Coturnix japonica: one gene and its partner. The protein of the gene in region 1 interacts with the protein of each later gene in a pairwise test. Links are inferred from orthologs where the notes say so. Each region holds a gene or a part of one and is shown on either strand. Other genes may lie near its edges.

What was found.
Region 2: the proteins of EPN2 (region 1) and WBP2 interact in binary tests that used the Homo sapiens proteins (3 or more experiments, as listed by UniProt). The link is inferred for Coturnix japonica from reciprocal best matches to the Homo sapiens genes EPN2 and WBP2.

Annotation. Positions count from the first base shown.
Region 1 is NC_029529.1:5,217,121-5,220,932, forward strand, and holds part of EPN2 (epsin-2), read left to right. Parts: intron 1-365; 5' UTR 366-542; coding exon 543-1,137; intron 1,138-3,812. UniProt on the Homo sapiens protein: Plays a role in the formation of clathrin-coated invaginations and endocytosis.
Region 2 is NC_029533.1:4,035,697-4,040,064, forward strand, and holds the start of WBP2 (WW domain-binding protein 2), read left to right. Parts: upstream 1-1,381; 5' UTR 1,382-1,457; coding exon 1,458-1,516; intron 1,517-2,352; coding exon 2,353-2,461; intron 2,462-2,995; coding exon 2,996-3,131; intron 3,132-4,368. UniProt on the Homo sapiens protein: Acts as a transcriptional coactivator of estrogen and progesterone receptors (ESR1 and PGR) upon hormone activation. In presence of estrogen, binds to ESR1-responsive promoters. Synergizes with YAP1 to enhance PGR activity.

The DNA of each region.
Region 1 (3,812 bases):
CTGGATGCTAATATTGTATTTCCTGGAATTAAAAATTCGAGGCAATTTATTTCTTGGGCTTTGGTTCCCTTTTCAGATTTTACCTTTGCATCAGGATGGGGATTTTCTTGCTTTCATGTTGTTCAGTAGCTCAGATGTTACGGGGCTCTAATATTGTTTTATAGCACAACTTCGCAGTAATTACCCCTTATTCTTGAGGTGGGAGGAGAAAGTTGGCTCCAAAATGTGGCTCTCCTAAGAAACTTGGAGAGAAAATTCATCATTCAGCTCTTAACAGAATTGCTCAGAAGTGTATCCAGTTTGCTTTCCAAGCAGGGATAATTGAAGACACAACTAATTGTGCTTTGTTTTCTTTTCTTGCTTAGGTCATGATTTTCATTTTCTCGTGTCATTCTCTTGAAGAGAGGAAATGATTGTAGTGGAACTTCTTACAGATAAGCCACAGATACGGATTCGTCGTAGTTCAGAAACGTTCATAGAAGAGCAGATATAGCCCTTTTCTTTGTGTTCTAACGTCTGTCCTATTAAAAAGGGAAATAAAAATGACGACTTCGTCTATTAGGCGGCAGATGAAGAACATTGTGAACAATTACTCGGAGGCCGAAATCAAAGTCCGGGAAGCGACCTCCAATGACCCATGGGGTCCCTCAAGTTCACTGATGACTGAAATAGCAGATCTGACCTACAACGTTGTGGCCTTCTCTGAAATTATGAGCATGATCTGGAAGCGACTCAATGACCACGGCAAGAACTGGCGACACGTGTACAAGGCTCTTACTCTGTTAGATTACCTGATTAAAACTGGTTCTGAGAGAGTAGCTCAGCAGTGTAAAGAGAATATTTTTGCTATCCAAACGTTGAAAGATTTCCAGTATATTGATCGAGATGGTAAAGACCAGGGCATCAATGTAAGGGAGAAATCCAAGCAGCTCGTGTCTCTGCTGAAGGATGACGAGCGACTGAAGACAGAGAGGGCCCAGGCACTGAAGACCAAAGAACGCATGGCTCAGGTGGCCACCGGGGTGGGCAGCAACCAGATCACCTTTGGTCGGGGCTCCAGTCAACCCAACTTGTCCACCAGCTACTCGGAGCAGGAGTATGGCAAGTCTGGAGGCTCCCCAGCATCCTATCATGGCTGTAAGTACAAGCAAACGTGGAAAGCTTTTTTCTTTCTTTTTATTTATTATTTTTTTTTTTTGAGATATTTTCTATTCTGATTTGCCATCAGATGTGAGAGTATGTGGTTCTTTCTAGAAGGGTTAAGGTACTGTTTGCAAGAGCTGAATCTTAGAAGTCCTGTTCTGTGGCACTGGGGTCTCTTGGGCTGGGTTTTTGGTCTGGAGAGGATGTGTGTGTTGATATAACTCAATTTATAAAGCAGTTGTTTACTGCCAGTCCCCAAGCATAGCATTGTAGAGCTGAATTTGTGAATGCATTCCAGTGTTTGATGTGAGAGGTCCTCAATCTCAGGAGGGAGATAGTTAATTGATTTTTTTTTTTTTCTTTTTTCACTATTTTTAAAAGAATTACTTGACCTTTCTTGTGTGTTTTTCTTTCTCTTCCCTTTTAAATGTAATTGGAAGAAAGTTAGGAATAGCAGGTTTGTCTCACATTGTGCTAGGTAGTTCATGGCGCTGCTGTTCTATTTTAACAAGAGTATTGGGATTGAAGTTCCTTTCTTGCTTTTCTTGCTTGCTCAGCTGCTCGTAGAGTAGTAACACTTTGAATGTGTCAGTATTTTGATATTTATACAATCAACATTTGGCATCAATAGTAAATACTGTATTTCATTCTTAAAATAAATAAATAAGACCTCCAGAAAAGTACAGTGATGTGGGAAGAATGGATTCTTTATACCAGCCCTTGGGGGAACTCCCTGTCATGTTAGGAAGAGGCCTGAGTTGGCACTAAATCCTTCTTAATATAAGTAATGATCTGATGAAAGCTGCTCTGGCTGAAATGTCAGTGGTTGTGGTCTAATTCTGAAGGAAAATCTTTTCTTTAAATGAATGCTTATAGTGTGTGGGGGTCTGTAACAGAGCCAGTGTGGTGAATCGATAGTACCAGCTTTATGAATCTCCAGTTTCTCATGTCCTGCATCCCAAAGTGCTGCTCGAGTTGTAAGTGTGGGAATGGTGTCAGTACCTGTGTTGTGTATGGGCAGGTTTTGGGGTAGGCAGTAGGAAGCTGGCAGGACAAATCAAGCTGGGATGAAGAATATCTCAGTCTCATCAAGGCTGTAGAGGAAAAGCAGGAAAAGTAATGTTTTTCCAGAACGAAATGCATTTAGGACCCAGGGTTATAAGCAAAAAGCTTGTGAAGATACCGGGTATGGCAGCTTCTATTTTGTCTCTTATTGTAACAATGGAATGATAAATATTTTAGGTTTCCTTTAATCACCAGACTGGAGCATTGATTCAATGTGATTTTTTTAAAGGAGACATATTTCTGTCACTGCCGTAACACTTTTTTTCTTTCATGTAGACCTCAGACCTCATTTATCGACCTTAAAAACTTATCCCCACTTAAGGAGATAGCTTGGAATATTATTGTTTTTAACACCTGCTGAAGGACAGAACTAACAGCCACCAGGGTGCACTGAGCACACCTCTGGTTTGTCCCACACTATTTCTTCACCAGCTCGTACTTTAATTGGGGCACACAACCGGTGTTTGTCATACTGAGTGCTGCCAGAGGCTCCCAGCTATTTCTCACAGCAAGGGTTGAGCAATGCAGGGTGTGTTTCTGAGTTGTTATTCCTTGGACATTTGAGGAATTTTGATGGGGGACGAGATGTCAGGAAGCAAGTTTGCTCATTGTCTCAGTACTGAGCGTGAGGTTACTTGATGTTCTCATTTGCCTGTGTGTTGGTTTGCTGCTTATCTCTACCTGAAAAGCAATCTTAATAATGATTTCTTAGCCATTTTTCCCTCTTCCCTCCTAATGCTCGTACCTAAGAAGCTTTAGAAATCTCAGGCTTGTCTTTTTTTCCCCCTGTAGATTCCTCCTTTGTTACAGACTCTCCTGTATAGAGGCATCTAGATTTAATTTAGATCTTTCCCAGTAGCATGAGGATTGCTTCTTAGAAAAAGTACACTAATTCTTGCTAAAGGTTTAGCACGTTTGATTTGTATTTCAATGCAATTAAAGTTGGGGGAAGTCTGTAACAACTTTTCTATTGGCATGGTTAAGTGAAATATTTCATCTAAGTGTGGTGGTGGTAGCAGACCTTACTTTCATTCCTGGCTAGGCACAGTGGATGGGGATTGCAGATGAGTAGCTCAGCTGTACAGCACTGACTAAATATTGCAATGCTCAAACTGCTGCTCTTCTCCAGCTCCTCAAGCATGTGTGTAGGCTTGTGTCTACGGTGCATACATGGTTTGGATTTTGTATTCGATGTTGATCTAGAAGGTTTTGTTTGGATAGAATAGTTCTAAATTATCCTTCTTGGAAAAATAGAAACAGCACTGATGGCATGTGTAGGATGAGGGAATTAAGGATAAAGGTCTCTGGAGTGATTTACCATCGTCCCTTACTGCTGCAGGCTAGGCACAGTGGTGGGTAGGGACATTTTCCCCTTTTCCTTGTAGATCTATTCATCTGACTTCCAACAATCAGCTAGAAAAAGTGAGAAATGCACAGGAGAAGTGTGGTAGATTTCATTAAAATCTTTTCTCCCCACAGCTTTGCCTTAATGTCTTTGTTGGCCCCAAGTATTTCTGTGCTGTAAAGCTTGTCTAATTCTGGGAACACATTATGGCCTATGATGATTGCTATTGATATAGTCATCAGCAAAAAAAACTAATTCT
Region 2 (4,368 bases), on another chromosome or scaffold:
ACATGAAGTTCTGGAGCTTCCCATGCACGCCAGCACTTCCTGACATGAAGGCTGAGTTTCTTAATACCAAACGTCAGCCAGAGCTATGAGAAGAGCATTACTGGGGGCACTGTTAGCTCAGGGAGCATTGGGGGAAGCTGTGTATGTGTGCTACTGACTTTAATAGGAGAGGAATTGGGGCTGTTGGTTATGAGCATTTCTTAAAAGGGAAACTTGCAGCTTATTGAAAAAGCGGATACAAAAGGCACAAAGCTGTGCTTTTCTTGCCAAGAACTGTACGCTTTATGTCTCTGAGTTGATTTCAGTCTGGTTTCCATTATGGAGCTTTCAGTTTCCTCGCTGCCCCTGGGGATTTGCAGGCACTGGAGGAGGGGCTGGGCTGCAAACCCTGCAGGGAAAGCTCAAATCCATACAAAAAAAAAGGTGTAATTTAGCCTCATATCACCTCTTAAAACATATTCACACATTATGCTGAGGGTTGATACGAGGAGTCCTTCAAAACATGTCATTCTGCAGCGGTTTTAATGCAGTTATGCAGGTGTTATGATTGTTTTAGGAGTCAGCTCCAGTTGGAGGCAGTGGGTTATACCCAAACTGTAGCTGTGCCAATAGTGCAGGTATTTTCCTGTCCCCGGATTTCCTCTCGCCCACAGAGCAGCTTTCTTTGTCTATGGGGTGACTTTTTGGCCCCTCCAGTTTAACCCTCAGTGGGTTAATTGTAGGAACCCAGGTGTCTGGGACACAAAATGGGCACTGAAACAGCCTGGAAAGTGGGGGGGAACCTTTGCTTTTAAAGGGGTTGAGCCTCATTTAGTGCACAGTATAACCAGATTAATGGCGTTTTCATTGTGAGCAATGAAAACGTGCAAAGTGCAGCCAAAGATAAAGTCCTGGAAGGGGAAAATAAAAGGGAATTGGAATGCAGTCAGGGCACTGGGCAAACCGTGCTTTGTTTGTGTGAGCTCTGTGGTACTATCTAAAATAGGAAGCTGGCAGAAGAGCTGCCAAGTCACGCAGGCTGCAAAGAACTGAGCTCATTTTATTATATATGGTCAGAGGGAGCAGAATGGGGTGATTGATGGGATGGGAAATGGGTTATCCCAAAAAGGAGCCCGGCTCTTTGGGTTGTGTATAGCAAAGTCAATATGATCTCAGCAGCTGGCTGGAGCTCGGGGAATTAATAGCAGCGTTAATTGGTGGCACTGCTCCTCGGGGACGGCAGACGAGGCTGAGTGAAGCGGTGAGATTTGGGGCAGAAAATAACCCTTAAGGAGCGACCTACACCACCCCAAAAAACCAACATGGCTGCCGAGCGAGAGGACTACAACTCCCAGCATGCCCGGGGAACACCACCCCCTCGAGACTACAAATCCCAGAGCGCACCGCGCGCCCAGCGGGCTCTTCTTCGCGCAGGCGCAGTGCGAGCTCGGCTCTGTGAGGCGGAGGCGGCGCTGAACATGGCGCTGAACAGGAACCACTCGGAGGGCGGCGGCGTCATCGTTAACAACAGCGAGAGGTGAGCGGTCAGGGGCCCAGCCCTCTTCTCTCTCCTTCTCCGAGCCCCTTTCCGTCCAAAATGGCCTTTTCCTGCGGGTCATATGGGGCTGAGGGGCTCTAACACCCGCCCCCCCCCCCCCCCCCCGCCATGTTGGGGTTAACCCTTGGTGTGCCCTATGTGGCTCATTAACCCTTGTTTAACCCTATGTGGCTCATTGCCGTCATATAGGCCCTGGTTCGTGGCCCAGGTGCCCTTCTGTACGACTGGGGATGGTAATAGGTCTAAATGTGCTGTGCACACCATTAGGGCCTGGTTTACCTGACGTGGATGTTGTCATATTAAGACAATACTACCTGCATCCATATGGATGTGTTTTATTGGTCTTAATCAGGCTGGTTTCTGATTGAGGCTTAAGGAGTCAGTGTGGGGTTATAGGAGTGAGAAGAGGAATGATCCCAATCACGTTATAGTGACTGAGATGGATTCTTGTGACCTCTGGTCGCCTCATTGCATAACCCAGGCTGAGGGGTTCCTGCTAAGCAGCCCTACCTGTGTTGTGTTGCTTGTGGTGAAGCAATTTAGGGAAATGATCGGGCAGAAATTCAACATAATGCAAGAAATACATTGAGAACTTGAGTTTAATTGACTGGATTCACCAGCCGGCTGTGCAAACAGCTGTATCAGCTCACTGAAGAAGGAACACGAGGCTGAGAGCAAGCAGAAGTGCAAGGCAGAGTGAGCATGTGTGCTGGGTGCTGGGCTGAGGTTAAGGCAGTTCTGGTAAGTCAGTGAACTCTACGTGCTGGAATCTGCCCCAAGCTCTAACACTGTGCCTCTTCTCATCTTGTTTGCAGCGTTCTGATGACCTATGATCATGTAGAAATGACCTTCAGTGATGCTGAACCGATGCCTGAGGCGTTCAAAGGGACCAAGAAAGGGAGTGTTTTCTTGACTCCCTACCGAGTAAGTAGTAAAAGGCATTAGAAAGAGATCAGAGTTCTTCATGGCTCTGCACTTCTACACGTGCATGAAGGTCTGGATAATGTACCCGTCCTCCCCTTGTGGGGAGCACTGTGGCTTCATTGCATGTCCTGCCTATTTGGCAAAAGATAATCAATCTGATTAGTTGTCAACCATGACATTAGTTCTTACCTGGGCAGCTGTTTTAGTCCACCAGGCATCTTCAAGATTGGAAATGAGCGATGGTTTGGAAATGCGGAATGGAGCAGTTCAGCTACTAAATCACAGCTGTGAGTTCTCTAGGAACTGGGAGGAGTGTTATCTGAGCAAGTGTGTAATCCTTCTGGAAGGCTTTATGGCCTTGAGGCATCATTTTACCCTTGTGACAGTTCTGAGAACCCTGGGGCTTGCAGAAATTACAAGGATCTTTGAGTGTGGGAGGCAGATTCAGTCCACCAGCAATGTCCACAGATAATAAACCGGGGCAGTGTTTCCTGTTCATTTTAAACACCCTTTGTAATGTTGTTTCTTTTTCAGGTTATCTTTATATCGAAGGGAAAGGATGCTCTGCAGTCTTTTGGGATGGCCTTTTATTTGTTGAAAGATTGTGAGATTAAGCAGCCTGTCTTTGGAGCAAACTATATCAAGGGTACAGTGAAAGCAGAGGCAGGAGGTACGTATAGCACTGATACAAAGCTGAGCTAAGATGCAGAACTTCTATAGTTCCTAGTAAAGTAATTATTCATTGTAATGTGAAGTGGATACTGGATGCATAGGTTCTTTCAGTATTGCTAAAATGTGTTTTTCTCTTTGAAACCAGCGGCTGAAAATATTCCCCCCTGTCAGCTCTGTGCAGTTACAGTGAACAGATTAGCTGTGTAACTGATCTCATTCCTGCCCTCTGTATGAAATTCAGAGTTCAGGCAGCCGAGTGATCTCACTGAGTAAACATCAGAGCAGGGATCAGGCTGTGACAGCAGCACTGAGGGCGTTGCTTGGCCTTGGTCAGTTCAGCCTCTCTCTTATTTATGCATCCAGATCCTTCTGTGCCAAACACTCGCGGTCTGTTCTGGATCTGTACGGATTTCGAGGTGTGAATCTCCAACATCCGTTTATTGTGCAGTTTAGGAAAAGCACTGCTGTATTGTTTGGAAGATGATGGATTACCTTGAGCTTAGGGAATGTTCAAGGGCAGCTTTATAATATGTTCAATGAGGAGTTGTGGTAGACTTCTTTTTTCCTAAGAGATACTTTTATCACTGTCCTATGCTTCTACTTCTTACCAAGGCACTTATTTCATCCAGAGCCTGATTTATTCCCTTAGCTGTGGCACTGCAACACAGTGCACTGCTCAGAGGGCTTCAGCCTATTACCCTGAAATCAGCCTTGTAGCTTTTCTATGGCAGCAAAACAAGACCATCCAGTGTGAGAGGAGAGCTGAGCACTAAGGACAAACACTAAACTGTGTGAAAGGCAAACTGCTTTAACAAAATCTCTGTGAGTCCCCCCCCAGAGGCTGGCTTAGTTAATGAGGATGTTGCTGCAACAGCCAGAGGAGTCTGGCTTAGCTCAAAAGGCTCTTTTATCTCTGTATCCCTGTTTCATTACTGACACAGCTACTGCTTTGATGCATTGTTGGCACTCTGGGCTGTGCGTGGTTTTCTTTTTTAGCCTGTAATAAGAGAAGTGGCTAATTCGTTTTTATTTTTTAATTATTATTATCCTGACTTGAAATATTTTCTATGAACTCTAATGGATTTATGCGATACTTGTTTTTTTCATTAAGCTCTTTGCTTCACTGGGCGCTCAGACTCCCAAACTAATTTGCAGTGGGCAGTTAGGTGTAGTTACAAAACCCTTCTAGCAAATGGGATTAACAGAATCCCTGTCTTCTGCACTAATCAAGTACA